Linked DNA regions of Notamacropus eugenii. The protein of the gene in region 1 purifies or fractionates together with the protein of each later gene. This does not show direct contact. Links are inferred from orthologs where the notes say so. Each region holds a gene or a part of one and is shown in the gene's direction. Other genes may lie near its edges.

Region 1 (15,235 bases):
TATAAACACCTTGTGGTTGGGGGCAAAAATTGCCTGAGTAAATATCAAAGAGCATGTGCCATGGAGAATGTCTGAAACTGTATAATGTTGAAGTTAAGAAGCTAATGAAGCTAATACCCAGCATGCAGATTGGGAGTGAAATGATATAATGGTAATGATGGTGTCCATGTATGTGTGTGTGTGTGTGTGTGTGTGTGTGCGTGTGTATGTATGAAAAACTAGGTAAAGACTAAGATATAACTAGAAGAACTGCATAACACAAATCTGACCCAGAACTTCTAGAGACCTACAGTAAGTGGACTAGAACTTAGGAAACCTGGTACTAGTCCAGGCTTGTCACTAAGTAGATGTATGTATGACCTTGGGCAAGGTGCCTCTCTGTGGTTCAATTGCTGTATCCTACCCAAGGCAAGTCTGATGTGCCAGGGATTTTCAAGGTCCAGATCGAATGACTTCCATCTGGGTGTGAGACATGTGGTATCACAGAATTTACTGATGTAAGGGAACTTAGAAATCATACTATCCAATCCCTCCATTTTATAGAAGAGGAAACTTCTGAAAGAGATGACCAAAGAGATTAGGTGACTTGCCCAGAATGATGTAGATAGTAAGTGACCAAGCCTGGGTCCACATTGAGCAGAATAAACTAAAGAAACAAGCAACCCCTCCACCCCACACCAAGACTGGGTTGTGGCAAAAGAACAGTTACAGAGTAATGGAATTCCAGGACTGGGCTAGAAATCTCCATGAGATTAGCAAAACATACATCAGAGAGGACCAGGAAGTTGATCTAATCTTCCCTTCTAAATTGATGATCTTATAATTCCCAGATTTTCAATGTTTTTTTGAGCCTATCAGGATTAAGTGATTTGTCTTTTTAACTGTGTCATCTTGTACTACCTTCTCCAGGCATCGTTGTGGGTCAGGCTTCCTGTGCCCACTAGGTTTTGGGCATGCACATCAATCATTCAGTTAAAATAGAAATTGGCTCACATGGTCTCCGAGGTTCCCTTCTTCCTCTAAAATTCTATGATCTCAAATAAAGTGATCAAATGAAGCATCTATATATCTATATCTACATAATATATATGTATGTATATATATGTATATGGAGAAGAGAGAGAGAAAGAGAAAGAGAGAGAGAAACAGAGGAAAGAGAGAGAAAAAGAGAGAGAAAGAGAAGGAGGGGGGGGGAGAGAGAGAGAGAGAGAGAGAGAGAGAGAGAGAGAGAGAGAGAGAGAGAGAGAGAGAGAGAGAGAGGAGCCATTACTACTTTTAGTCATGTTCTAATTGATCAGACTTAGGTTTCAAGAGGAATTATATCCCTTTTTCCCCTCTTTGTAGTCAACACTTTAGAATGTACCATTGGAGGACCCAATGGATAATGTTTTTGACTCATTGATGCATCTGATCAGGGAATGACTAAATCTCTTGGCATAACTATTTGGCTCATCTTGGGTATTTGTTACATTTAGCATTGCTACATTTATAACATCTTCATTAAAAACTAAAGGTTCATTATGCATAAACGAGTTTGAGAAAGTTTTATGCTTCTGGTTACAAAAATTTTTAAAAATGGCTGGATGTAGAGCCAGCAATCAAATCCTGGAGATCTTCAATGCTTTATATTTAATTTATGAGCAATATTTTGTATAGGCATCTAGGAGGTGTAGTGGATAGAACTCTGGATCTGGAGTCAGGAAGACCTGAGTCCAAATGCTACCTCAAATACTAGTGAGGCCCTGGGCAAGTCTCTTAACTACTCAGGCACAGTTTCTTCTTCTGTAAAATGGGGATGATAATAATAGCACCCATCTCACAGGATCATTGGGAAGATTCATGAGATCACAAGTATATCACATTAAAAACCTCTAAGTTATTATTACTATTTGCTATACAATGATGACATAGTCACACCTATTTTAATTAGGCTATAATGTAATGAATAGCAATTAAAATGGAAATGATTTTATGTGTGCTAACATTAATACTACCAACCCCTTCAGGATGCTTTTTAAACATAATTATTTGTCTAATAGCCTTGGATTTTTTTTTTTTTTGAGGCTCTGAATGTGTGCTATCATCAATGGAGGAAATTTCAGAAATAGAAATTCTCGCTGATATAGATTGGTAACTGTTTGTCACTTAGAATTTTAGAGAATTGCCTGAGGCACTGAGATGTAAAATGACTTTACCAAGGTCATACAGCTATGATGTGTGAAAACAGAGCTAGAACTCAGGTCTTCCTCACTCCTCTATCCACTACCCCACACTGTTTCTTCTGCTCTATGGACTTTATCCCTAACATGTGGCTCTAAAATCTATCATTTATAGGGACTTTTTAGGTCTGCAAACTTTTTTACACACACAATCTCATTTGAATCTCAAAAGCCCCAGTGGGGTAGAATCTATGAACATCTCTATTTAATAGGTGAAGAAACTGAGATCCAGAAAAGTTAAGTTAGTTTCCTAAGGTTATACAGTTAATATTTTGCATATGCTTACATGTGTGCATATTGCTTTTCCCAATATAATATAAGATCCTGTTCATTTTGGTCTCTACATCTCTAGCACCTAGTATACTATAAGACATACGCTTAATAATAATATTAATTTAATACAAGGTAGACATTTAACAAATGTATATGGATTCATTGATTGAAGCAGTCATTCACTCAGCTTCATATTCTTCTTACTACTTCTTATTTCTACTGTGTAAATGAATCTAAATTTTATAAACACACAGAGAAAACAAAAACATATTCAAACATTAATAAGTATTTGGGGAAAAAAATCTCTAGAGAAGTGGGGGAGGGCTTGAACTTATTTGAACCTATTGTATTAAGGGAAGAACCTTAGTGGAAAGACAGAGTAAGATCTTAATTGAAGAAATGGGGGAATAGAGCAGAATTGTAGCTAGAAGAAAATGAGCACTAGACCATGTGAATCAGACCAGACACAGATCATAGAAGCGCAGAAGTGACTCCAGGGGCCACTGAGTCCAAGGTGCTCTTTTTATAGATGAGAAAACCATGGCCCAGAGAAGTAAAATGACTTGCCCAAGGTGACAAAAAACAAGGAGCAGAGTTGAGATTTGAAACCATGATTTCTGTCTCCAAATCCAGTGTTTCTTCTACTAAATCATGATGCATTATTGGAGAGCATTTCTGGGATGTATCTGACCCAGGTGAGGATAAAGAAAAATAATACATGCATAGTGTTTTTTATACCTCAAAGTGCTATGTAATAATTAATTATTTTAAATATTATTTCATTATTTAAAACAATAAAATAAGTGATACATAATGCCATTAATAATTAATTATATTATTACTATCATAGTATCAAATATTAATTGATGTTAATATTCTTTAATCATAGTAATTGCTACAATTAATTTAGTTTCTTTATTAATATGAAGAAGTAATGGAATGCTGTTAAATATCATTGAATTAACATTAATTTGACTAATATTTATAATCAAGTAATTAATATTACTTGATGAATATTAATAATGAATACATTATATTGACATACTTGAATAATTATTAATATTATTGAATAATAATAAAATGTAACCCTTCCTGCCTCTACTCACAATGCCACTCCCCTGAAATCCGACAAAAGACAAGGTTTTTAAATTGAGTGCAATGTTTGGAGTCAGGAAGACCAGTGTGAATCCTATCTGTGACACTTACTAGCGTGATAACCATGGGCAAGTCATTTAACTCACAGAGACTTCATTTCTTTATGTGGAAAACAAGCATAAAAATGTCCTTGATACTATATCTACTTCAATGGGATGCTGTGACATTCAAATGAAATTATGCAGGTAAAGTACCTAGAAAACATTAAATAAATACATAGTTTATTTATAATATACATTACATAAAAATAAAATTAATTAAATAAATAAACAAATGCCAGCATCGTCCATCATCATCATCATCATCATCATCACCCTTAACGTTATTATCGTTATTTTGCTGTACACACTGTGTGTTGGGGTAGTGTGTGCTTGGATAGGACAAAGGAAGGAATATGAATTGTTAATTTCCCACTATGTTCCAAACACTTTTACAAATCTTATCTCATCTGATCCTCCCAACAACCCTGGGAGGCAGGTGCTGTTATTATCACTGTTTTGTTGTTGTGTATAATTGAGTCGTGTCTGACTCTTTGTGGCACCATTTGGGATTTTCTCGGCTGAGATACTGGAATGGTTTGCCATTTCTTTCTCCAGCTCATTTTACAGATGAGGAAACTGAGACAAACAGAGCCTAAGTGACTTTCCCAGGGGTGGACAGCTAGTAAGTGTCTGAGGCTGAATTTGAACTCGTGTTTTTGACTTCAGTCTCAGAGCTCTATCCACTGCACCACCTAGCTGCCATGATAGAACATGCATATAGAGTAATTGCTGCTCTGGAGAATGGGTTAGAGATGGGGCAGGTATGGTTATGCTGCACAGTGGTTAAAGACCATAACACAGAAACACCTAGGTCGTCTGTCTCTGACATAGACTGATTTTGTGTACTTAACCTCAGCATGCCACATCTCTAAGTATAAATTGTAAAGAATGAGTGAATAAATAGATGAATGAAATTTTTAAAAAGCCATTTATTAAGCTCTTACTGAAAAGCAACATGGCATAATGGATATGGCACTAGACTTGGAGTCAGAAAACACTAGATTTGAATTCTGCCTCGGACAATTAATATGTGGCCTGGGCAAATCTCTTTGTTTCAGTTTCCTCTTCTATTACAATGATGGGATTGGATTTGGTGGCCTCTGAGATCCCTTCCAACTCTAAATATATGATCCTAATGTGTCCCAATCCCTGCCAGTCTGCGTCAGAAAGGGAAGGTCCTCAATGGAAATTCCCTATATAAATGGAATCACATCTCCAGTCAAAAAGTCATAAGAAAACAGAATCCTGAACTAAATCTAATCCCTTTAGACTGTGGGTTTTGCTGCTGTTCACTTGCATCTGGATTTTTGTGACCCCATTTAGGGTGTTCATGGCAAAGATACTGGAATGGTTTGCCATTTCCTTCTCCAGTTCAGGAAACTGAAGCAGTTAACCATGACTTGCCCAGGGTCACACAGTTAGTAAGTGTCTGAAGCCAAATTGAATTTAGGAAGAGAAGTCTTTGTGACTCCAGGCCCAGGGCTCTATCCATTGCACCACCTTGATGCCCCATAGCCATGGGTTACCCAGGGGCCAAAATCAAAGGGGGTTATAAAATATGAGATGTTTCTTCCATTATCTAGCACTACAAGATAATGGCTAAGTTCATAGGTTTTAGAGATCATCCAAGCCTTTCCTTTTATGGATGAGGAAACTGCAACCTGGATGAGGAAACTGAAGGGAACAGGCCTTGCCTTGAGACATAAATAGGAAGGACCTAGTAAAGCCCTTGCTTCCCTAACCCTGCCATTCTTGCCTCTTCAGGCTCTCTCTCCGCCTTTTCTCCACATTTTGAGAAATGTGGAAGGATAGCCTAGCTAACCCTCCCTGGCAAAGTTAAATCAGCTTTGGAATGCTGATGCTTTCCATTCCATGGATTACCAGGTTGGCCTCTCAGCCAGCTAACACAAGGCAGGGGCCCCTCTGGTCCATTCTGCCCAGGGAAGCAGAAGCTAAGTTACCTCTGGGAACAACTCTCTGATTGGTATTGCTAATTACTGCTAGTAATGAAGATGGATGGTTGCAGGTATCGGAGCCAACTGTTTAACCGACAGCACTTTGGTCACGTTGAGTAACTTTATATCCTGCTGCCTTTACTAAAGCCCTGTAATCTCCCCAGACAGCTGTAAGATTCCAGTTATTAGTACACACAACACTTATCAAGTCATCTGTGACTAATAAAAACTTGAGAAAGAGGGGAAGAAAGAATGGGCAGTTGGTTGTTCAGCAATGTTTTCTCCAACTTGCCAAACTTTTCTTAGGCAATGCTTAGTCCCCATAGAGCACCCCACATGTCTAATTGTAAAAATCTGTCAGCATTGCAGGATTCCAGAGAGCTCACTGATTTCCACTGAGGGTAGAGATGGGAGGATGAGTCTTCCATTGTAAGGAAAAGAGGGACTCCAGGGGCAAAGTGAAGATAAGGGGTGGGGGGGAGGGAGTAGACTGAGTAAATGTAGGAGTCTGCTCTGAAGGGTTGGAAGTTCCCACTTCCCCTCCCTTTGGGCATGATTTCTATCCCTTCCAAGCCCCAGAGTCTTTGTGTGCAGAACTCCCTGCTTGTGCTAGGCTGTTGTTGGGTAAGTCTTGGCCAAGGCTACCAGCCGGGGTTTGCTTTCAAGTGGTCGTCATTTCTTCATGTGCATGTGGCCAGGGTTACTGTCTTTACTCTTAACGGGATGTGCTATTGTAATTAGGATGGTTTTGGACTGTATTCAAAACAAAATCCCAGAGAGCTAGTTCCCAGCAGGGCCTGGTCCAGTTACTCAGGGCTCTCGGGACACCTTTTCCCAAACCCTTTTCCTAAGGGAATCGATGAAGATAACCAAGGTTGTTGTGGTGTCTGGCCTTTAAGTGTCCCTCCTTCAATTTAATTCAACACATATTTATCGAATTGATAAATGCCAAGCAGTGGAAATAGTGATGTATTTGGAGGCAGAGGAAATGGAGTGAGACTCATGTCTGCCACTTCCTATGAAACTTTGGGTCTCCTTCCTGGAGCTCAGTTTTCCTACCTTTAAAAATAAGAGGGCGGGTTTATTTCAGCTCTAACTGTGAGCTCTAACTGTGATAGCAGATCAAATGCTGGAGATAATGCGCTAACCTCAGGGTCAGGATGATGTGGGTCCAGAACTTACCTCTGTGGCACTTACTAGATACCTGGGCATGTGTCATCACGGTTGAGTCTCCTTTCCTCACATTTTAAATGGAGACAATCCCTCCAAAATTTAGTTTATAGCAGGAGTTTTTAACCTTACAAACTTTGAAATAAGTGAACTTCAAAATATTTTGGTAACTGCATTTCGATGTAATGGGTTTCCTTCGTAATTCCGTGTTTTGTTTCATATATATTTTATTGCAAATATCGGTCTGAGGTGTCCATAGGCTTCATTTCACAGCCAAAGGTGGCCGTGACACAAAAGTTACGTGTCCCGATCTAGACCCTTGCTTATGCCACGCTAACTCCAGGTAGCTCGCCCACTTTCCAGGGCGGGGGCAGGAGGGGAAGCTTCGAGGGCAGCAGAGGAGCCTCTGGTGGCAGAGGACCGTATTCGGCAGGAGGGCCGCCGTGCCCGGACAGCCTGCGCCCCCGAGCGCCCTGCTGCGCTCCCCAGGGCTCGGGCAGCCTGGCCCGGATCAGCCCAGCACGGGAAGCCAAAAGAGCACAGGCACCGCCTCGCCTCGCCCCACCCCTGCCCGCCGAGCTCCTCGCCAGCTCGCCCGCCAGTTCCGGTCTTCCCAGCCCCTGTGCACCCCGGCTCCTCCTCCTCCTTCTCCATCCCCTCCTGCCCTGGGCTCCGGGGGCACTTGGTGCCCGACTGTTCCCAGAAGCTGGCAGCCCCAGGTACTGGCTGATGTGCCTGCCGCGCACTGACAGGTAAGGACTGCGGGGACCCATCGGGGCTGGAGGCTGCGCAGGACTGACGGACTGGACGGACCCGCTGCCGGGCAGCGGGGGGCGGGGAGTCGCCTTAGCTTTCCTCCTCCCCTTTTCCCTCCTAAACTCCCCCTACCCCGGACAGCTGGCCTCTCCCCGCCCCCCCTTGGCTGGGACAACTAAGAGAGGACTGCCCCCTAGGCTGCCCCCCACTCGCTACACGATTCCTCCAACTTTGCTCTGAAGTTGGCATCTCCCCCGGCGCAGCGCAGCTAGGGCCAACTTGGGGCAAGTCTGAACACTGGGCTGGGCGGGTTGACCTAGGCGGGGCGAGTCAGGGGCTGCCAGGAGAGGCAGAGCACATTCCCACCCTCCTTTCTCTCCTTCCTGCCTCCCTCCCTCCCTCCCTCCCTCCCTCCCTCCCTCCCTCCCTCCCTTCCTTTCCCCCTCCTTTCCTGCTTCTTTCCTTCCCTCACTCCTTTCCCTCTTTCCTTCCTCCATGGACTCGGTCAAGATAAGAGACCAGATGCCAGAGCTCGGGGCCTCCCCTTCGGAGTTTCCTCGGAAGCCGGCAGACTGCCTGACTGAGTTTAGTGAGGGATGGAAGGCCGAGCATCCCAGATAAACCAGGAAGTGCCGGCAGAATCTGCAGATGGGGTGTGTGTGTGTGTGTGTGTGTGTGTGTGTGTGTGTGTGTGTGTGTGTGTGTGTGTGTGTGTGTGTGTGTGTGTGTGTGTGTGTGTGTGTGTGTGTGTGTGTGTGTGTGTGTGTGTGTGTGTGACTGTGTGTGGTGTGAGTGTGAGTGTGAGTGTATGTGCAAGTGTGTATGGTGTGTGTGTGAGTGTGTGTGTGCGTGTTAGCAGCAGAACAGAAGAGACAGAGGCTGGAGGGCTGATTCTGGAGTAGGAGACCCTGTGCTGGCCCAGGAGAAAGAATTACATTGTCAGAGGAGGGATTATTATTATTATTATAGATAATGAGAAGCCATAGTGTAGCTATTCTCAGTCTCACCTCTGGCCAGCTGCTCAACCCTGAGCAAGTCATTCAGTTTCTCAGGGCTCTAGAGAACTCTCTAATAAACTTATAAGTAGCCAACAAACTCTCAGTCTCAGTTTTTTCATCTGTGAAATGGGAATAATGATAGCACCTACTTCACAATGTTGTGATACTCAAGTGCCATGATAGGAAAAGAGCTATATAAATGCTATTATTCAATATTGTTATTATTAGATCAGCACATACCAATGAAATCTCAGGTCCAGACCCCCTTCCCCCCCCCCCAGAAACCCCTTAGCTAAAATTTGTATACTATTTTAGGGTTTCCAAAGAGTTTTATATACATTCTGCTAAATGAGATGTGACTTGATTTTGGATGTCCTGCCAAAATGAAAGACTTATTAATTAGCCCAGGATCCTTGCACTATATACCTAGGAGCTTAGATTAGAGTTGAGAGGGACCTCAGAAGCTATTTGATTCTACCCTCTCATTTTATGTTTCAGTAGACTATAACTCTCAGGGAACTTGAGTGACCTTCCTAAGGTCACAGAGGTAGTAAGCATTGGAAGTGGGGCTTAAACCCAGGTTCTACATTCCAAATCCTTTGTTCTTTCCCTGACACCAACCTAGGACACAAAACCTTGAAATCCAAATCAGTCAGTCAGTAAAAGAGGATTTGTCCAGGACCTGCTTTGTGTCTGGTATTGTGTTAGGGATAAAAAGACAAAGGAAATGAGAGCGTGTACATTTTTGGAGGCAGCAACATGTGCACGTATATTGAGTAAATACCAGGAGAATCGGGAAGAGGGGATCGAAGCAAACTCAGGGATCAGGAAAAGAGTTCATCAAAGACTTAGTGCTTGAGCTGAGCTTTGAAGGAAAGGGTCTAATGGGAAAGCAAGTACACAGCCAACCATGATACAAGGGAGAAACTGGTTCAGTCCATAAGTCAACAAACAAAGAGGTCAAAGAAGATTAGGAAGGGAAACAGTTCATTGGGCTCTGTAGGAAGGAGCTCTTTAGTGACTTTGGAAGAGAGAGTGACCTTGAGTAATTTGGGAGGGGCAGAGGCCAGATAGCCCAGGCTTGAGGGGGTGTGGCAGGGGATTTCTGGAGTCAACTCATATAGCTTTAGGAGAGCTGATTGTTAAATTTACATCTGAAAATCCACAAACTGTCAATCAGGGCTTGATTTGTTCTTTTACTTTCTTAGACTTAAGAAATGAATGGAAGAAATATCAATAATGGAAATTAAACTGAAAAGTGTCTTTTGGGTACAATTTTTCTTTTGGAGAGCCAGTTGTTAAACATGTCAGTCCACTGCTGGATAAAGTACTCCTGCAGAAATTGAAGCAGAAGGGATCCATGACTCTCTCTGGAAGTTTCACTGTGCAGGAAAGGATCGAGGACAAAAACTTGAAGGGAGTCACATTCAAGGGGGCAGCCCAGTGAATGGAATGCCAGGCCTGGTGTCACGAAGACTCATCTTCCCAAGTTCAAATCTGGCCTCAGCCACTTGCGATCTATGTAACCTGGGGCAAGTCATTTAACATTATTTGACTCAGTTTCTCTATTGTAAAATGAGCTGGAGAAGGAAATGACCAACCACTCTAGTACCTTTGCCAAGGAAACTCTAAATAGGGTCACAGAGAGTCCAGCACAACTAATGGCATTAACTGGTTAATTCACAGAATGATAAGATCATAGGTTTAGAGCTGGAAAGTATCTTGCAGATGTCAACCAGATGGAAATAGCCTCCAATCTATGGGTAACTGGAGCCAGACAGAGCAGACTAGAGACAGGAGACTCAGGAATCAAACAGAAATTTAATTTCAAAGTGAGGGAAATGGCTTGCAGGGGCTTGCAGGGAAGGACGCATGTGCAGGAGATCTCAATACTTAGACCTATACTACATAGTGAGCTGTAGCCCTGAGAATGAGGGCTATAGTCACAATGTGATGAGTCTGGTTCATAGCAGAACTTCCTAACCAGAATATGGATACAGCAGGTGTTTATCTGAGCTCAGAGATATTACAATGCAATAATTATATGAAACAGTTCTGGGATTTTTCTGTGGCTGAGATCATCTAGAGGATGAGAGCTCAGGGCACAGCCTGTTTGCTGGGAAACAGCGTCTCTTAATATCTTAACATAGATTATCTAGCCTAACTCCCTTCATTTTACAGATGAAAAAAGGCTAAGTAAGTAACTTACTCAAGGTCATGCTAGTAATAAATAAGGAAGTCAGAATTTTAAAATAGATCTTTGACTTCAAATCCAGAACTCTTTTCATTAAATTATACTGTCTCCCCTGGGACAGGCACTACATGAAGGCACATTTTCAATAATATATGTGCCTTGATTTCCCTGGTCTAGGTCTTCCCTCCTTTGCTGGAAATGACTGTGATTCTTCTACAACTTACTGTTGGCAAACTGTAAGGGCTCCCAGGATTAGCCAAGTGATACACTGTATATCTGTCACATGAGGTCCAAGCTGGCTAAATTGGGAGAAGCCATGATAAACCTTTTTTTTTTTTTTTTTTGTGGCAATCAGGGTTAACAGATTTGCCCAGGGTTACACAGCTAGTAAGTGTCTGGGAGAGACCAGATTTGAACTCAGGTCCTCCTGACTTCAGGGTTGGTGCTCTATCCACTGCACCACTTAGCTTCCCCCACAACTCTTGAAGATCATCAGGGAAGGTTTAGTGGATTTTTAAGCCAACTCAGCTCAGTGGAGCCAGAGGACACATTAGGAAATCACACATCTTTGGCTGAGAGAGCTAGGGGACAATAAATATCACTATCCACCACATTGCCACCCCCCAGTTTTAAAAGTGAAAGAGAAGGTGACTTGCTCTTGATTATATGGATACTAAATACCTGAGTACAGTTTTCTTACCATCTCACAGAATACATAACTGGCAGGTGGGAAGGGCAGAAGATGCTTGTTTCCTCAGAATCTCCTCTCTCTAGGCAAGGCCACAGGGGGAAGGACAGTAAGATTAGGAGATGCCTGAGGCCACTTCCCTAGAAAATCTAATTCCTGTTCTCCTTCACTCCAGGGGCTACCTCACTCATTTAGGTATGGTGTCAAGTCCAAGTGTACTCCTTTTCTGTTTTGGGTAAACTATGAAAATACAAAACAATAAAATCTTTTATACAGTTCAAGCCCCTAACTGAGAAGCATCAGTTAAACAATCTAACCCTACTTCTCATTCTCTCTCTCTGTCTCTGTCTCTGTCTCTCTCTCTCTCTGTCTCCCTCCCTCCCTCCCTTTCTCTGTCTCTGTCTCTCCCTCCCTCTCTTTCTGTTTCTCTTACGTGTCTCTCTGTGTCTGTGTCTATCTATTTCTGTCTATCTCTCTTTCTGTTTCTCTGTCTCTCTGTCTCTCTCTGTCTCTCTGTCTCTCTGTCTCTCTCTCTCTCTCTCTCTCTTTCTCTCTCTGTCTCTCTCTCTCTCTCTCTCACACACACACACACACACACACACACACACACACACACACACACACACACTGCAGTTTAAAATCTACACCTCTCCCCAGTGTACTTTACTATCTCTGGTCTGTCTTGTGAACGTATTTACCTAAGATCACACATGAACCAATAATGGAATGGAGGAGCATGTTATCTTAGAGAAAAACATTTATTTTAAAACAAATGATGAAACAAAAAACAAAGAAGCAGGAGTTGCAGATACGGGTTCAGGACTCTCCTGAAACAGCTCCAGAGTGAGCCTGAAGGAAAAAGGACAGGAAAGTGAGGAGCCCTGGGCTCCATTCTGAGCAGCACCCAGGGTTCCAACCTCTGTGTATCTGTCCCAGTGACTTTTGCCTGGTCAGCTGTAGTTTTGCCTTGGGCTCTTGGCATTCTCTCCTTTCCAGGTCACTTGATGCTGCTTTGGCAGTGGTGGCCTGGCCTCTGCTTCCTTATGGCCCGTTTCCCATTCTTTCTCTCACCAATATCTTTCTGGGGACTTTTCCTCCTTTCTTCCTTCTCCTCTGGAATGAGAGGGAATTGTTTCTACAGGACTTCGGGTAGGTAGATATTGGGGATTCCTGTCCAAAGCAGACATAATGTCGATTCCAACCAATGTCAGGTTACACCCAAAAGCTGTGAGAGTAATTATATCTTATAGGAAAATACTCCTTTGCCTTGGCCTTAAAGCTCTAGATAAATGCTGCTCTAATCTCCAGCATCACCTGAATCACTCCTCCCTTGATAAGCTTCTGCTAGGATTGACTTTGAAGCAGTTTTGGAAAGTCAGGATCTTTGCTGACTGAGGAGGAGCCTTTGACCGTTAGGTGATGCTTTACATTGATCGTCTCATTGGATCCTCACAAAAGACTTGGCAGGTCAGTGCTACTGTTATCCCAGCTTCAGAGTTGAGGAAACTGGGGCACCCAGACCTTAAGTGACTTGCCTGGATCCCAAGCAGGTAAATACCTAAAGGAATTGTCTTGTTCACATTTTCCTCATTGCACATTCCTTGTTCCACCCTTTATAGTCCAGAAGTTCTTAGCCTTTGCGGGGAGGGCGAGGGGGGCTGTGAACTTGTTTGTTTTTTTAAAATATATTTGGATACTTGTATTTCAATAGAATTTGTTTCCTTGGTAATGCTATGTATTTTATTTTCTGCATTTAAAGCATTTTTCTAAGCAAGAGTCTGTACGCTTTACTGGATTGACAAGAGGGACTTTGACACAAAAAGTTGAAGAATTCCTGCACTGTTCTATGATTATTTTTATTCTTAGAGACTTAGGTTTCCCTGCTAATCCACATGGAAGCTTTGACCTGTTCCTTTTCTGACCTAGGCTATTTCACCCGTCTTTAGACACCCTGGCAGCCCTCTGCTTCCAGAGGCTCTTTATATTAGTGTCAGTCAGTGAATGAATAAGCATTTATTATCTACCAAGTGCCAGGCACTGTGCTAAGGGCTGGGCATATAAATACAAAAGAGAAACTCTGCGCCCTGAGGGAGCTTACAGTCTAAGGGAGGGGGGAGGCAAAACACAAAAGGAAGCTGAAAAAGGAGAGCAGAGAAGGTACCTGATCACCAGGGCATGATGAAGACGGACAACCGTTTGGCTTTAGTCGTACTGCAGATTGTAACTCCTGAGTTCAGGTAATTGCCCAGCCTCACCCTCCCAAAGAGCAGGGGCTATGGGTATGAGCCATTATGCCTGGGCAATTTATTTTTAAATAACAGGAACCCTGCAAGTCTGGCCTTCATTTCAACCCAAGAAGCATTTATGAAGCACCTACTATGCACTGCAGACTGTCATAGGCAATGGGGATAGAAAGGAAAAGACTTTGGGAATTTGGTAACAATTCTATGTATACATTAATGTTTACGCTCAATTCTGTATGTCATTCAAAAGAATGTTGGATTTTGAGCTTGGAGGAATTTTAGAAGTCACATAGTCCAGATAAGGAAGCTGAAACCCAGAGAAATTAAGAGTCTTATTCAACAGAGGCAAGATATGAACTCAAGTATTTAAAGCACCTGAGATTGCAAGAGAAATGAAAATTGTCCCTGTCCACAAGAAACTTAGATTCCATTGTGGTAGAGAGGCTTGCAACATTTACGAGGATAAATAATTATAACCTAATTTGAGGAGGGAGGGAAGGTTTCTTCTAGGAGATGCCCCCTGTATTGAGTGTTGAGAGAAGGGTATGCATTCCTGGAATGGGAGCCAACCTAGGTAAAGACATGAGATAAGGAGATGGAATGCTAAGGTTAGGAAAGCAGCCAGGGCACTTGGGTCACAAGGTAGAGTGGTTAAAGAGAAGATGTGTGAAGTCATTCTGGACATGCGGACTGGAGCCTTTGTCAGAAAGGTCCATTACATCCTGCATGCTCTTCTTCTCTGCATTTTACAGATGGGGAAACTGAGGTTGAGAGGTTAGTGACTTGCTCAGGGACACACAGCTTGAGAATGCTTGAAGAACAAATTGAATTTAGATCTTTCTGAATCAAATCGCAGTGCCCTCTTTAGTCTCACTTGTTGCCTATCTTATCCTAGCAGAGAACTTAGAGAGGGTGCCTGAAAAATTGGTATGAGAGCATGCACTGAAATTCGTTCATGTGCACACAAATGGTTACTTAGCAGTTTGATTGTACTCATGTTCTAACTTCTGTCTCCTCCCTCTGATTCCTAATAGTTATGTGGCCCTGGGCAAGATGCTTAACCGTTCCCTGCCTCAGTTTCCTCATCTGTTAAATGAAGTGTGCACACATACTTGGGTAGATATTTTCTCTTCTTTTAAAAGCAGTGTGCATATATACTTGGATATGTAGATGTGAGAGGCAGCTAGGTGGTTCAGTGGACAGAGTGCTGAACCTGGAGTCAGGAAAACCTGAGTTCAAATCTAGCTTCAGACACTTACTAGCTATGTGACGTTGGGCAAGTCACTTAACCTCTGCTTGTCTTAATCCACTAGAGAAGAAAATGGCAAACCACTCCAGTATCTTTGCCAAGAAAACACTATACAAGGTCATGAAGAATCAGACACAACTGAACAACACCAAATGTAGACTTGGGTATTATAGCTACCCACGGGAGAAACATGGTCAGTGAAGAGATGGTAAAGGATTAAAATGAAATAAAAAGAAAGGAAAGAAACAAGGAAGAAGAGAAGAGACACAGAAACATACAGCTAAGGGAGGGAGA
Region 2 (15,726 bases), on another chromosome or scaffold:
TAACGTGAGAAGACAGATGATAAAAGTACTAGAAAGGGCCAGGAGGGTAGACATAAGCACAAGGCAGCTGATGCAGAGGCTGAACAGACTGGAGAGTAAGTCATAGTGAAGTGAATAGCATGGCTGGGGCCCCCATGATATCAAGGTCTCATACAGGGACTAACCAATTAAAAGTGAAAGATATCCCAAAGCGCTATGGACTGTTTGAGGAGGTGATGGGCTCCCCCTTACTGGAGTCTTCATGCAAAGGCTGAATGACCCATTGTGCAGACTTGTAGGAGAGAGGTATGTGTTTCAGGTAGATGTCAGGCCAAAGGGCCTCAAAGGTCCTTATAATCTCTGAGATTCTAAGAATCTGGGTATGAATTCCTGGCTCAGTTATTTACAAGCTAATATGTGGCCTGAAGCAAATTCTTTCCCTCCTGTGGGCCTGTTTTGTTACCTTTTAAATGAAAGGATCTTACTAGACAATCTCCATTCCATCTTTAAATCTTTAATGTTCATTCCATCTTCAAATCTTATGATTCCATGAATGTTTCTCAAGATATTTTGCTTGTATCTTGTCCCATAGAGCAGGGGCTGTTAGCTTTTGGAGGCTCTGTCCAGAGCCTTTCTCACTGGAGGGAGTAGGGTAGTTAGTGAGGAGGCACTCATGAAAATGAGCAAGAGATTTCTGAGCAGTTCTCTTATCAAAACACTTGCTCCTCCCAAAAGGGGCAGCGCCGAACTCTGTCCAATAATCAGAGGGCAATTGTGGGCCCCTTGATGGGGGGGAAGTAACGTATTGTAGTAACAGTTGCCACAAACTTTTCCACAACCCACAGAGAGGAAAGGATGTGTGGGAGGAGTTCAGAGAAACCTGGGGACCCTAAACTACTAAGGGGGATGAAGAGGAAGTCCCCAGCTGCAGCTGGTGGTAACATCCCTTCACAAAATCATCTTGGGCTCCCTCATACTCTCTTGAAAACCCACCTGGTAGTGCCGCAGTCCTAACCTCCACCTAAAAAATCAGACAGGCTAGCTCCCCAAGGAAGCCTTCCTACACTGATCAAAGATGAAAAAGTGAAGGTGATAGCTTTCCTTAACCCCACCCTTGCTGTGCAGATGAAACCTGCCTATTTTGCAGATGAAAAAACTACTACTATTCAGGTACTAAACAATTAAGAACTCTGGGAGCCAAGAGTTGAACCCCCATCTCTCCTGACTCCAAGTCTAGCACACTCTTTACTGTCTTCACCGTACCATGCTCTCAGTTGGTGTCTAGGGTTCTATGAGCTGGGATGTTAACTGGTACTCACAATGTATATGGACACAGTAAAGAAGGGGAGGGAAGGGCACTCCAGATGAGGAGGACTTCCTGTGTGAGCAAGGTAATAGAGATGAGGGCATCTAATGAGGTAAACTTCAAACTTCTTGGTATTCAAGACTCACGACGATGATGAAGATGATGATGATGATGATGATAAATAGCTCACATTTACGTAGGACTTTAACACTTACAAAGAAAGTGCTTTCTATTTGATACCTCATGTGATCCTCACAACACCCCAACAAGACAGGTGCTATTATTATCCCCATTTTACAGGTGACAAAACTGAGTCTGAGAGAGGTTAAGAGGCTTGAAACATTAAGTAATCACAGGTCTGGTTCCACCAGACTTTTCCAGTCTTCTCACGCAACTTCCCTCCAGTGTCCTAATCAACCCCTGGAAGAGGTAGAAGCATAGAAATTCTCACCGCATTTTTCCACTGGACTAGAAGCAATGGACGTATTTTATATATTATAGCTTCCAATAGTATCAATTTACGCACCACTTCAGGGGATTTATTTTTCACACTAATCCATCACTCTTTGTGTTTTCCAATGTGGTAAGACTACCCCCCTGTATATAGCCTGCATCCCCCCTCCTGACTATTCCCAAAGCTTAGGAATATCCTTCTATTTATACTCCCCCTACCCCACTGAAAATCCTATCTATCCTTTAAGATCTAATTCAAAGGTCATTTCCTCCAGGAATCTTTCCTGAATCCCCCGCAGTGGATCGTATTCTGGGCACACGACCCTACTCACCCACTTCACATTTCATTTACAACTCTCTGAAGAACTTATATATTATTTGTAGTATTGTTATCTCCTTATTAGACCGTTAGCTCAAGGAGACGAGAAGGCAGAGACTGTGTCTTATCTAACTTTAGATCTCCTCCAGCAGGAGTTATCAGATATTAAACACTTATTATACCAGATGCTCAGGGAAACGCTAAGTCTAAAGGATAGGCTCCGGACTCTGTGGTTTACCCTCTATCTACTATACCACAATCTTCTTCTAATGCCTCCTATGAGCCCAGAAAAGAAAACAAAGACTCTGTGATTATAAAGGGGAATGTGAGCTGAGCCTGGAAGAATGAATAGGATTTGGGCAGGAGGTGATTCTAGGAAGAAAGACTAACATGAAGTCTGGACAAAGGTCCAGAGGTAAGTGGTGGGAAGGAGGAGATGGGAAAAAGAGGAGAAGAATCTTGTAAAGTTGTGATGGGATCGATGAGTTGGGCTGGGCATGAAGTAAGGTAAGTAATCCTTGGAAAAGAAGAAAAAAAAGACCTGCCAAGTCCTGACTCTGATGTTATTCAGGAAATAACTTCATGTCTCTGGGTTTTTATTTCTTTATCTTTAAAATGGAGTTAATAGGGCCAAACCAGTGCCCAACATTGGGGAACTATCCCGAAGCAAGAGACAGCACCAGACAGCACTCAGCACCCAATCAGCAGCAGAAGAAAAGGTCAGACCAGCTTTAAGCAGTGGGCACCTGACCTAGCATCCAGGCAGACAGTTTCCACCACAGGAGACAAAGTCATACAGTTCCTACAGAAGGTAATATCTAGTCTTAGCCATCAAACTCAGGATCCTGCAGGACTTCCTATATACCATTCAGGAATGTGGGAGGAGAGTTTGACCCATGTGCTAACTCCTAGTCCAGAAACCAAGACTGGAGGTATGAGAAAAGAGAAGGAAAAAACAAACATAATGCAGAAATACTTTGGGCTGAAAGAAACTCAGGAGATAAACACCCAGAAGAAAGTCGCTCCACAAGTGCAAGTGGATTCTCAGAGATAAGAATGTTGTAGCTGTAAGAGCTACAAGAGTTATTTTGTAGTGGTTTGCCATTTCCTTCTCCATATATTTTATACAGAAAGAAACTGAGGCAAACAGGGTTAAGTGACTTGCCCAGGTCATACAACTAGTGTCTGAGGTCAAATCTGAACACTTCAAGCAATCATAAAAGAAAGCATTCAAGTGTCAAGGAGCCATAATGAAGTTAACTGAAGATTTGGCAGCTGCCATCGTCAAGGAGGGGAGATCTTGGAATAGGATACTCCAAAAGGCTTACAGTCAAGAATAACCTACCCAGAAAAACTAAGTATATTCTACAGGGCAAAAAATGACCTTTTATAAAATTTTCCTGAGTGGATCCTTTGAAATGGAAATGAAAAATAGAAGAGTACATCTGAAAGGGACCATGTGAAGATTGCTTAAGAGAGAGAAGAAATAAGTATGCTTTCAGAACTTTAATATCTTCAAGGGTAATAAAGAAAGAGTTAGTCTTTGTTCTATCTTGATGGTCTGAGGAGCAGAAGGAAATAGGAAGGGTACGGTACTGTATTGGGAAGGAAAAGAGGAAGAGGAGGGAATTCACTATCTCACATAATAGCGGTGCATGAGATGAAGAGCATATGAGCAGGGAGGATGGAGAGAGAATGGGAGGAAAAGTATCCCATAAGCCTCACTTTTAAGTCAAGTGGATAAAGGAAGCTTGAAACACATTCCCACATATAATCACATTCACATTCATACACACACACACACACACACAATATGGTAAGGAGATATATACGTATAGTCATCTGTAGATGTATATGTATACTCAATAGGGTCAGGTGAGCATACATCAGGAAGAGTATACGAGACAGGAGTATATGAGAGAGGGAAGGCTAGGTGATGGAGAAGTCATTGGCATCAAGATCAAATATAAACAAATACCACCATTAGAGGGGAAGGGAAGGAGAGTGAAAGAGAGAGTAAAAGAAAAGAATGAAAACTCTGGGAGGGGGGGAGATAGGAGTCATGGGGAAGAGGAGAGGGTCAAATAAAAAAAGAAATAAATAGAATAAAAAGAATAGATAATAATAAAATAGAATAAATGGAATAAAATAAAAAGAATTATAATAAAAAGAATAAAAATTAAATAATACAAAGAATAAAAGAAGAAGAAAAATGAAAATGGGACAAATACTTAGAGGGTGTCAAGAAAGTGCTTTATAAACTTGAAACTATAAAAATGAGCACGACCTGAAGAGAAGATGGAGTTAAGGGTAAGGAATGACAGGTGGATGGTCAGGGTGCTTCCCAGATACCCTGAAGATATTTGGAGAAATCGAGGAAGGCTTCCAGCACATTGAGTGTCATTTATAGGCCCAGACAAGAGCCACACAGGATTGGCAGTTATGGATGGGCTTCAGTCTGAAATAGAAGGAAATCCTAAATGAATGACATGAGATTTAGCATGCTCTGCCCCTACAGGAGGCCTTCACTGCCTTACATCTCATACAACCCTTCACAGGCTATGGCTACCACCCGCCCAGCCAAAGGTCACCTCTTTTCTTTTAGGCCTTCTGGGCTTTTGAGGAAGTAAATGAATGAGGGTGGTGACTTCTTCCCCAAAAGGGAGCTGATCTATCCTGGTGTTAACAGTAACTCTCATTTCAATGGAGTCTTAAGGATTATAAGATCCCCTTCAGCACCCTATTTCCTCTCACTCTCTTCTAAACTCTCTGAAATCTGACTTCTTTCCATTGAAACTGCCCTTTCCAAAAGCTATCAATGATCCCCTTAACTGCCAAATCTAATGGCCTTTGCTCATTCCTCCTCCTCCTCGATTCTTGACCTTTATAAAGCATTTGACATCATTGACCACCTTTTCTTCCTGGAGGTTTTCATGACACTGATTTGTTCTAGTTCTCTTTCTATCAGTCCAAATGCTCCTCAGTCCCCTTTGCTGGCCCTTCATTCATATCATGCACTCTTAATTGTGTGCCCCCAGTGATGTACTGATAAATATTTAACAATCAGTCCTCTGGGGAGAAGGGGGAGGGGGAAGTATGTCCCCTGGCACACTGTTAAATTTAATCCACTTTAACAACATTTTATCCATCACTTTCTTAAACCCAGACAAAACAATAAATCAAGTCCTAATTTGTAGTGTTTGCTGATTTCCCAGGGGGAAAACTTAACAACAGGCTTTCCTGAGATGGTTTGAGCCAGCTCCTGCACTCCTCTGGGGATCCCCCAAGTGTCTTTCCAGAGCCTCCTCTTTTCACTCCATGCAATCTCACCTGGAGATCTCATCTGCTCCCCATGGGTTCAATTCTCATCTCTTTCATAGCTATGTCCTCTATAGGTAGTTGGGTGGGTGCAATGAATGGAGAAGTGGGCCTAGATACTTCCTGTTTCTCATAATATCCTCTGCTCCTGTCTCCTTTCCTCTATACTGACTATTCCCCCATGTGTTGCCTCAGTTTCCCACCAGGCCCAGCTGAAATCTTATCTCCTGCAGGGTGGGCTTTCCCAGCTCCCCCAGCCACTAGTGCCTTATCTGAGATTACCTTCAATCTACTCTGAATATATCTTAGACACACAAGTTATTCACATGTTGTGTCCCCCACCAGAATTTAAGCTCATTGAGGACAGGAACTGCTTTTTGCCTTTTTTTGTAACCTTGAAGCTTAGCAAGGTGCCTGCCACATGGTAAATACTTTAAAATCCCTGCTGGTGACTTTTATTTCAACATCCCTGAGAGCTCAGCTCTTATCACTATGCTATCACCAGGGCTGAGACCCAAGTGTGTATAAACCAAAACCAAGAGGTCTAAGATAGAAGTGGGAATTTGGAGGCCAGACAGGAAAGTCAAGATCAGGAGGTCAGCACCAGAACAGGGCAGGACACAGTGAATGTTGCTGAAATGTCTATTTTTCTGCCTCAACTCATCCCTACAGATTTTCAGCCTTTCATTATGATGGCACAATGATGGGGGAAGGAAGCTAGCATTTCTTAATCACCTACTCTGTGCCAGGTACGTGGTACATTGGATAGAGTGTTGGGCCCGAAGTCAAATTTCAGATCTGGCCTCAAACACTCCCTAGCTGTGTGACCCTAGATAAGTCACTTCACCCTTCCTCATCTATAAAATGAACTGGAGAAGGAAATGGCAACCAACCTAAGTATCTTTACCAAGAAAACCTAAACGACGTCCTGAAGAGTCAGACATGACTGAACAGCAAGTGAACACACCACCAAAGTGTCCGGCATTGCTAAGGGCTTTACAGTTACTGTATCACTTGATTCTCACCCTTTAAGGTAGGTACTATTATCATCCCCATTTTACAGCTGAGAAAACTGAGGCAGATGCAGGTTAAGTGACATGCCCAGGATCTCACAGCTATTAAGTGACTGGGGGCAGAGCTTCCTGATTCCAGGCTATCCACTGTGACACCTAGCTACCACTTATTACCTGTGTGATCTGAGGTAAGTGACCTTTTTGGGCCTCAGCTATACCTGTAAAATGAGGGTATAGGACAGAATGACTTCTAGGTCCCTTTCCCTCTCTACAGCTATGATCCTATGATTCAATAACTCTTTAAAATGGTGACCTAAAGCACTATGTTGGGAAAGTCCAGCCTGGAACCTCCTAATTAGTCCTAGACCTATTCCCAAGTAGCTTAGTGGGAAGTATAGACAGAGGAAAGAGTTCTTCCTCATTTGCATTCCAAGTCTGTTCCTTGTTACTTCATACGACCTTGGACAAATTTTACCACTATGAGCCTTTTTCTTCATCATTAGGCTGTAAGTTCCTTGAGGATAAGACTGCTTTTTGCCTCTTTGTGGATTCCCAGACCTTAGCCTCTTACATAGTAGGCACTTAATAAATGTTTATTGATTGAAATTGAGGGGTTTGGACCTCCCTTTCAGATCTAAATCAATGAAAATATACAAAGTGTCCCACGGGGCTTTTTGTTGTTCAGTCCTGTTCAGCTCTTTGTGACTCCATTTGGGGTTTTCTTGGCAAAGACACTAGAGTGATTTGCCATTTCTTTCTCCGGCTCATTTTACAGATGAGGAAACTGAAGCCTATTCAAGTGATTTGGGCAACTAGTAAATGGTCTGAGCCTAGATTTGAACTAGGGTCTTCCTGACTCCAGGACTGATGCTCTGTTCGCTTCACCACCTAGCTGCCCCTCCAAGGGTCTTAGTGAAGTTTTTAAGCTTAAAGTAAAAATGAAACTTCACTTTTAAGTTATAGCTTAAAAAAAAAAAAAAGCTTGTATTAAGACTTTGGGGCACCCTGTGTGATCTAACTCCAGAAAGCTGGTCCTTTCACCTTTCACATTCAGTTTGTTTTAATTAATAAACACTATATTGTGGATTGACTCTTCCCCAGAGCTAAGTAAGCTCTGGTCAATGGGGAAGAAAGATTATGATAGTATTATGCTGTATATTACATAATATTATATTAATAATGATCATCACTGTATATTACATAATGTTATATTGATAACGATGGACACGGCATATGACATAATAATGTATTGATAACGATGGACACTGCATATGACATAATGTATTGATAACGATGGACATGGCATATGACATAATGTATTGATAACGATGGACGCTGAATATGACATAATGTATTGATAACGATGGACGCTGCATATGACATAATGTATTGATAACGATGGACATGGCATATGACATAATGTATTGATAACGGTGGACGCTGGGACGCTGCATATGACATAATGTATTGATAACAGTCTCTGCATATGACATAATGTATTGATAACGATGGACGCTGCATATGACATAATGTATTGATAACGATGGACATGGCATATGACATAATGTATTGATAACGATGGACGCTGCATATGACATAATGTATTGATAACGGTCTCTGCATATGACATAATGTATTGATAACGATGGACGCTGCATATGACATAATGTATTGATAACGGTCTCTGCATATGACATAATAGTATATTGATAATGATGGATGCTGCATATGACATAATATATTGATAACGATGGACACTGCATATGACATAATAATGTATTGATAACGATGGACATGGCATATGACATAATGTATTGATAACGATGGACGCTGCATATGACATAATGTATTGATAACGATGGACGCTGCATATGACATAATGTATTGATAACGATGGACATGGCATATGACATAATGTATTGATAACGATGGACGCTGCATATGACATAATGTATTGATAACGATGGACGCTGCATATGACATAATGTATTGATAACGGTCTCTGCATATGACATAATGTATTGATAACGATGGACGCTGCATATGACATAATGTATTGATAACGGTCTCTGCATATGACATAATGTATTGATAACGATGGACGCTGCATATGACATAATGTATTGATAACGATGGACGCTGCATATGACATAATGTATTGATAACGGTCTCTGCATATGACATAATGTATTGATAACGATGGTCTCTGCATATGACATAATGTATTGATAACGATGGACGCTGCATATGACATAATGTATTGATAACGGTCTCTGCATATGACATAATGTATTGATAACGATGGACGCTGCATATGACATAATGTATTGATAACGGTCTCTGCATATGACATAATGTATTGATAACGATGGACGCTGCATATGACATAATGTATTGATAACGATGGACGCTGCATATGACATAATGTATTGATAACGATGGACATGGCATATGACATAATGTATTGATAACGATGGACGCTGCATATGACATAATGTATTGATAACGATGGTCTCTGCATATGACATAATGTATTGATAACGATGGACGCTGCATATGACATAATGTATTGATAACGGTCTCTGCATATGACATAATGTATTGATAACGATGGACATGGTATATGACATAATGTATTGATAACGGTCTCTGCATATGACATAATGTATTGATAACGATGGACGCTGCACATTACACAATACCCTACTAATGCTGAGGACGATCGTAGACGGTGGCCAGCCCTTTGTCTTTCTCATTTCCCTAGTGCTTGTGCCTGGCACACACTAGGTCCTTGATAAGGGTTTCTGAGTGACTGAGCATTTCCGCGGGGCCTCGTTGGAGCTCGGCCAGCCGGGTCCGGGGGTCCGGGGGTCCGGGGTCCGGGGTCCGGGGGTCCGGGGGTCCGGGGTCCGGAGGTCCGGGGTCCGGGGTCCGGGGGTCCAGGGGTCCGGGGTCCGGAGGTCCGGGGTCCGGGGGTCCGGAGGTCCGGGGTCCGGGCTGCGCCCTCCGCCAGGCCCTGTGCCACCGCAGACCTCAGTCTCCCTAAAGGCACAAAAGCCACGTTGGGGCCCCGGCTGCGGGGTCCGGCCGGCCTCGCCCCCCGCGGTGTCGGGGCCCTTAGGAAGGAGGGGGTCGGGTGGACGCGGCTGACCCCCACCCCGAGGGCCTAGGGAAGGAGCCACGTGAGAGCCCGCGGAAGGAAGGCTTGGGGGGCATTTGGCCGCCTGGAGGGCACGGGACCCCAGCAGGTGGGCACCTTAAAGAGATGAACAGAGAGGGGGAGGGGGTGTTGGAGAGAAGCATTGTTTTCTTAAAGCCTTTCCCCAGGGAATCAATTAATAAACAAGTCCGGTTAGTTAAGGGGGGGGCAGGGTGGTAATCTAAAAGTGGTTGGGTTTTTTTGGTAGAGCTTCGATTTACGAATGATTTTACATAGCGAAAAACGAGGCCGACCCCTGCCTGCTCCGGCCCCCACAGAGGCTCCCGGGAAGTAGGGCAAAGAGCGTAGGAGACCAAGGCCGCATGCGCAGCCTGCGTTCTCCGAGTTCAGGCCGGGGCCTGCTGGAGGCAGGGCAGGGAGAAAGGGAGCGGTACGCATGCGTGCGCGTAAAAGTGGAAAGGAGTGGGGGAGCGGCCTGTGAGCGTGCGCACAAGGGGAGGACACGGAGGGCCCCCGGGAGACAGACGAGTGAGGTAGGAAGGGCCCGGCAGGGCTCGGAAGCGCTTAGCCCGCAATCTTGGGGGAGGGAAGAAGGGAGGGAGGGGTGAGGAGATAGAGGGAAGGGTGGGGCGGGAAGTCGGGGGAGTGGGCGGAGCGAAGCGGTGACGCAGCCCGCCGATTACCCAGCCCCCTCCACGGCCCTCCCTGGCACTGACGTGGCTGCCGTCGGGAGCCGCCATCTTGTGGGAGCAAAACCAACGCCTGGAGAGCCGATAAAAAGAAGCAGCGGCAGCCGCTCGCGGGTGAGGAGACGGGAAGCCCGAGGCTCAGGGGCGAGGAGGTAAGGCGAGGCCCCCCTCCGCCACCCCGGGCCCCTGCCCCGCCGCGGCCGTCCTCGGCGCCGGGGCCGGGCGGGGGAGGTGACGGGAGCGGGGCCAGAGCAGGCCAGGCCCGAGGCGGCCGGGCCCAGCCGGGGCGGTCCGCGGCGAGGAAGGCCGCGCTCCGACCGAGGGAGGCCCACGGCGGGGGGGGTTCGTGAGGGGGCGGCCCGGAGCGCGGAGCCTGGGGCCGGGGCGGCGGGGTTGGGGTGGGGCGGGGACCGCGGAGGCCAGAGAGCCGGGTCGGAGAAGCGCCTCCGGTGTGCGAGGCGGCAAGGCCGCGAGAGCCGGGTACGAGCGGGGGCGGGGCGGCGGGTCGTGGGGTGTCTGCGGAGCTTTTGTTAGTATGTTATAGGATCGGGGCGGAAGCGGGGGCCTGGAGGCCCTCGAGGCCCACCCCCGCCGGTTCCCTATGGGGAAACTGAGGCCAGCGGGGGCAGGGTTCGAACTCGGGTCTCCCTCCTCTCACACTCGGCCCCGCCGAGCTTCCTTCGGGCCCCCCTTGGCCCGGGCGGGCCATGTTTAACCGAAGGCCGGAGCCGGCCCGACCCCGAGGCGGACACGAAGCCGTTCTCCGGCCGCCCGCAGGGAGGTTACCGCCGAGAGCCCGAGGCTTTGAGTCATTTTGCGGTGGAGGAAGGAAGGGGGGAGGAGGAGGAGGCATCCCGGTTTCTGTTCCTGGTCGGGTTTGTAATAACGCCTAGCTGTAGGAAATGCCGTGTAGACGGATTCCGACCCCACGCCCCTAAGGTTCGGAGTGAGGGGGTCACGGCTGGGTGCCCCGAGGCCAGCAAGGGAGGTGACTTGCCCAAGGTCACCCGAGGCTGGGGCTCGGACCGACTTCTCCGACTGCCACACCGCCGGCCTTTGTGGAGGAGCGCGGTCGGTCTACACCGAGTGCCGATCCCGGGAGAACGGCGTGCTTGGCCGCCGACGTTGCGATCGGAGGCAGACCTTCGGGGAGCGGGTGTCCAGGCTGCTGTCGGTGGTCGTCGTGGACCTGTGCTCGGTGTCCCTGCCGTAGGGTCAGCCCTTCGGCCAGATGTAGAGAGGGGATGGAGGAACAGTTCCGTCACTGGAGTGACTCCGCTGGGCGCTTGCTGTTGCATAATCCTGGTTGTGAACCGCGTGTAGAAATGTAATTCCGATAATAACTTAATTACACAGCACTTCGTTGTAACTAATTTATTCCGACGGCACCTCGAGCCCGGTCAGAGATTTAAGAGAATTTGTGAAGACTGAGTGATGTTTTAAATAAATTTGGGAGTGATTTTCAGATGCCACTGGAAACAATTCCTAGAATATGTCATCATAGAGTTTTAGACGTAAGAGGATTGGAGTCCACTCTGCCCCTTTTATAAATGAACATTTGGTTGGGGGAGGGAGTTAGGTGACACGCCCAAGGTCATACAGCTAGTTAGTAGGGGGGCTATGGAGATGGAGCAGTTTCCTGGTTACTCTTTTAGAACAATTCCTCAGCAGTTTGTAAAATGCTAATTTTATCCTCATCTTTTCATCAGTGCTTCTAATCAAATATAAAACATAGGATTACACATCTAAGTGACCCGTCCTAGTCTTAGGTATCGTTCTTTGCCTAAACTAAAACTTAAGTATTATGAGAGGATGAATTTGTCAGTTAACTTTAGTTTTTAGTAATAGTCAGTGATTCAAACTGTTAGACCTTGAAGTACCAAGTGTTAGTTGGGGCCAAAGTTAAAAGGAGTTTAATGGTTTAAAAATTAATCACAAGCCTAGTTTGTTTATCTTCACATGTTACTGAAATGTGTTCTCTCCAGTACTTGGGTGATAGACTATGATTTTAGGGAAATATACGGACAAAGCAGTCTATCCATGTAACTCAGCTCACCAGTTACAACCCCCAAGTCTGAAGGTATCTGGCTATCTCAAAAGGATGTCACATAATTCCCCTTGCTTCTGTTCTAAAAAAAAAAAAAAAAGTTTGTTTTGGCATACTCTTAGAAATGTTATTCAGCATTTGAGGGGAGCTGATACTGTTACAACTCTAAAAGATAGGAAATAACTGAAGCAAGATTTATAGTCGGCATGCAAAAAGCAGTTGCCCTACACCCTAACAGTTCTGCATTTTTAATCATGTGATCTAGCCATTCACTTTACCTCTTACCCAACATGACAAGGGCATTCCACACACCCTAGTACCTGCTAACTCGTACTTAAGGTAGGAGTAACTTGGAACAAAGGAAAGTTACAATCTCAACTTTTTCATCTCTGTAAGTGATTAACAATAAATTTTGATTTGGAGGGAGCAGAGTACTTGCAAAAAATGGTTGGCTGTTGTGGTGAGCCTTTTTTAAAAAAAGACAAAAATCAAGCATTTACATTGTGTGCCATTTTGTGTACTGCTGTCTTAGTGTTAGAGGTGTACTTTTGTTTTTATGAGAACCAGATCTGATATTTGCGTTTGCAGGTAGATGGGGGTTTTCCTTTTTTATCCCTTCATTCTTTTGTACTGTTTGACTTTCTTATTCTTCTGTAGTTTATGTTAATGAAATTGTTGTGTGCTCATCTGCATTTTGCACACTTAGTTCCTTGAGAAGGCTTTGTTTTTATTAGTATTCTAGAGTAATTTAGAAATTGAGGTCATAAAATGTAGACATAAAATGTGAAATTAAAGAATCCTGTTATCAGAGTTGGAGTTTTAACAATCCCCAATGTACTTTTAATACAGAGGTGGAATTTCTGCAGGATACAGTGTTGAGAGGAGGACTTGGATAGGTTTCAAGAGTTTATAATTAGAATTTTTACTAAACTTTTACGCTATTGTGATATTCGTTTTAATAATTGTATGAATCTCATGGTTAATTTCAGAGCTAATGTGTAGTCACAAATCAGTTAATTCCACTTTAATCCGAATCCTGCCATCCAATTTGTATTATGTAGCACTACAGATATGAAAATAAATAGAAAAAATAAAAGGGATTAAATTAAAATTTCTTTTTATATTATTAAGGTTTTATTGAAAGGGGAAGTTTGGTTTTTGAAATTCCTTGTGTACTTCTTATGTTACAGCTGTTCCCCATTGGCATAAGTAATGGAGAATTATACATGTTTTTCTAGCTTACCTGTGTCTGAAAAATAATCTTTTGGTATTTAAAAAAAACCAGATAAGATAGTACTTTGATTATATTGAACATTAGCCTTTCTACTTGCTGAAGAAAAAGTTGTAAATGGTGGATTTTTAAAATGTCTTGTTAGAATTTATAAATATGAAATACAAAATTTTTAACTGATCCTATGTTTATACACACCTAATTGTTAAAAATGTTTTTATAAATACAGTAACATTTCACCTATCCAGAAATATACAAGTACATGTTTCTGTATGTTATTTATAGGATAGACCCTCACAAAGAATGTTTTAACTTTACAAAGGATTCTCAATGACTTTCTCTAGTATCCAGGATTTTGGCCAAAGTAGCAAATTGAGAGGGAAGAGCAGACTAGAATTTATGGCCTGACAGTGAAAGAGGAGAATGAAATACTTTCTGAAAAGTAAACACGGAAACTGGAAAAACATAGCTATTAAGTGGTGGGGCCACTCAAGAATAGGGGCAAATATTCATTATCAGTGATTGATTATGGTATGACTCTGAATCAATGGTTGTATTACATTGTCATGCTTTGTGTGAGAAAGCAAGGTAATTAGCTTACAAAGATTAACATAAGTTTGTCGTTTTATTTTCCCAACATTCCTGTGAAGTGAATGCTATTTCACTTTCCATATTAGAGCATCACAGCTCTAAAGACATCAAATACTTAGAGGGCATCTCGTCAAAAGACTTACCTTACATTACATATAGTTAAGTGGCAAAGCTGAGATGAGGGACTTGACTTGGACTATCCTGTATACCACATAGTGTTGCCAGACTTTGTCTTTCTTTCTCTTTGAGGTATCTGGCATCCTTTTGACTCCTGTTCTCCATTGACACAGCCACCACCCTAATCCAGACCCTTATCACCTCTCACTTGGACTGGTATAACTTCTTGATTGACCTCCCCCTTCCAATCTATGCTCCACACAGCTACCAGTGATATTCCTAAAGCACAGGTTTGATAATGTCATGTTCATGATACCTCCAGATATAGACTCCTTTGTTCAGTATTTAAAGCCCTAGACAACCAGTCTCTTACCTTTTCCAGCTTTATATATACACTGTGATTCAGCCAAGTTAGCCCTCACTATTACATCTGTTTCTGAGTAGCTGGTGGTTCAGTAGTTAGAGTGTTGGTACCTGGAGTTAGGAAGATCTGAGTTCAAATTGAACCTTAAGATAGTTACTAGCTGTGAGTCTAAGCAAGTATAGTTAACTGTCTCCCAGGGTTGTCGTGAGGATCAAATCAGATGATATTTGTAATTTAGCACAGGTTTACAAAAAGCATATTCATAACCCTGTGAAGTAGATTATAATTTTTCTCAAGATAGAAATTATAAAACATGTACATAGAATCTTAGGTCCAGGATTTTGAGCTGGAAGAGACCTGAGGCCATCTAGTCCACACCCTAATTTCTGGAAACTTATGACTTGTCTAAAGTTACACAGAAACAGAGGTGGTTTTGATTCCAGGGCCAGTGCTCTTCTCTCTGTACCATCCTACTCTTTGTGTTTTTAAGTCTGACTGTTAAATATTTTCCTTTGACAAATTTCTTTTGCTCTACCCATTTAAATATATAGGTTCAAATAGATAAGGCCAAAATTTTTTTTCCCGAAAATAAGACTGAGTGGTAAAAATGCAGGTATAGTTATAAATACGCCAACAGGAGAACAAAGAATGTTCTTTTAAAAATTGCTGTTAAAAGTAATAGCTTCCTACCTTTTGCAGATGAAACTGAATACAGCTTGGCATTTAACTTATTGAATCCATTAATTTATGCTTAAAATACTATGCCAATTAGTAATTTAGGCAGTGAAATTAACTGGCAGATATTAATAACTTTTGGTATTTCCAACTTCTTTTGGAAGTGATGCAATCTTTTCAAAATTATAGACATAGTTACATGAAAATTGTGTTCTTATTCTGCAGTTGATGATGGCTGAGGCCTTTGCTTAATAACTTGTTACTAATAGAATTTCTTTGATGACGTATCTTAGGTTTGTCTAAAACACTTGTGACTTAAGCCAAAAATATTAGACCTTGTCTAGATGTTTGTTACGTAAGCAAGAATATCAGTGCATTATTGAACTGAAGTGATGATTGGTGTCTTCTGATAACACTAATTAGAAGCATGTATAGCTGAAAGGGACCTTAGAAGCCAACTCTGC

The links.
Region 2: the proteins of PLD1 (region 1) and ARF1 purify together in Homo sapiens (affinity purification with western blotting; 3 studies listed by BioGRID, with this or other methods). This does not show direct contact. The link is inferred for Notamacropus eugenii from reciprocal best matches to the Homo sapiens genes PLD1 and ARF1.

The regions. Positions count from the first base shown.
Region 1 is NC_092877.1:352,388,716-352,403,950, forward strand, and holds the start of PLD1 (phospholipase D1), read left to right. Parts: upstream 1-7,476; 5' UTR 7,477-7,565; intron 7,566-15,235. UniProt on the Homo sapiens protein: Function as phospholipase selective for phosphatidylcholine. Implicated as a critical step in numerous cellular pathways, including signal transduction, membrane trafficking, and the regulation of mitosis.
Region 2 is NC_092872.1:9,973,243-9,988,968, reverse strand, and holds the start of ARF1 (ADP-ribosylation factor 1), read left to right. Parts: upstream 1-9,923; 5' UTR 9,924-10,081; intron 10,082-10,235; exon of another isoform or gene 10,236-10,389; intron 10,390-11,469; exon of another isoform or gene 11,470-11,564; intron 11,565-15,726. UniProt on the Homo sapiens protein: Small GTPase involved in protein trafficking between different compartments. Modulates vesicle budding and uncoating within the Golgi complex. In its GTP-bound form, triggers the recruitment of coatomer proteins to the Golgi membrane.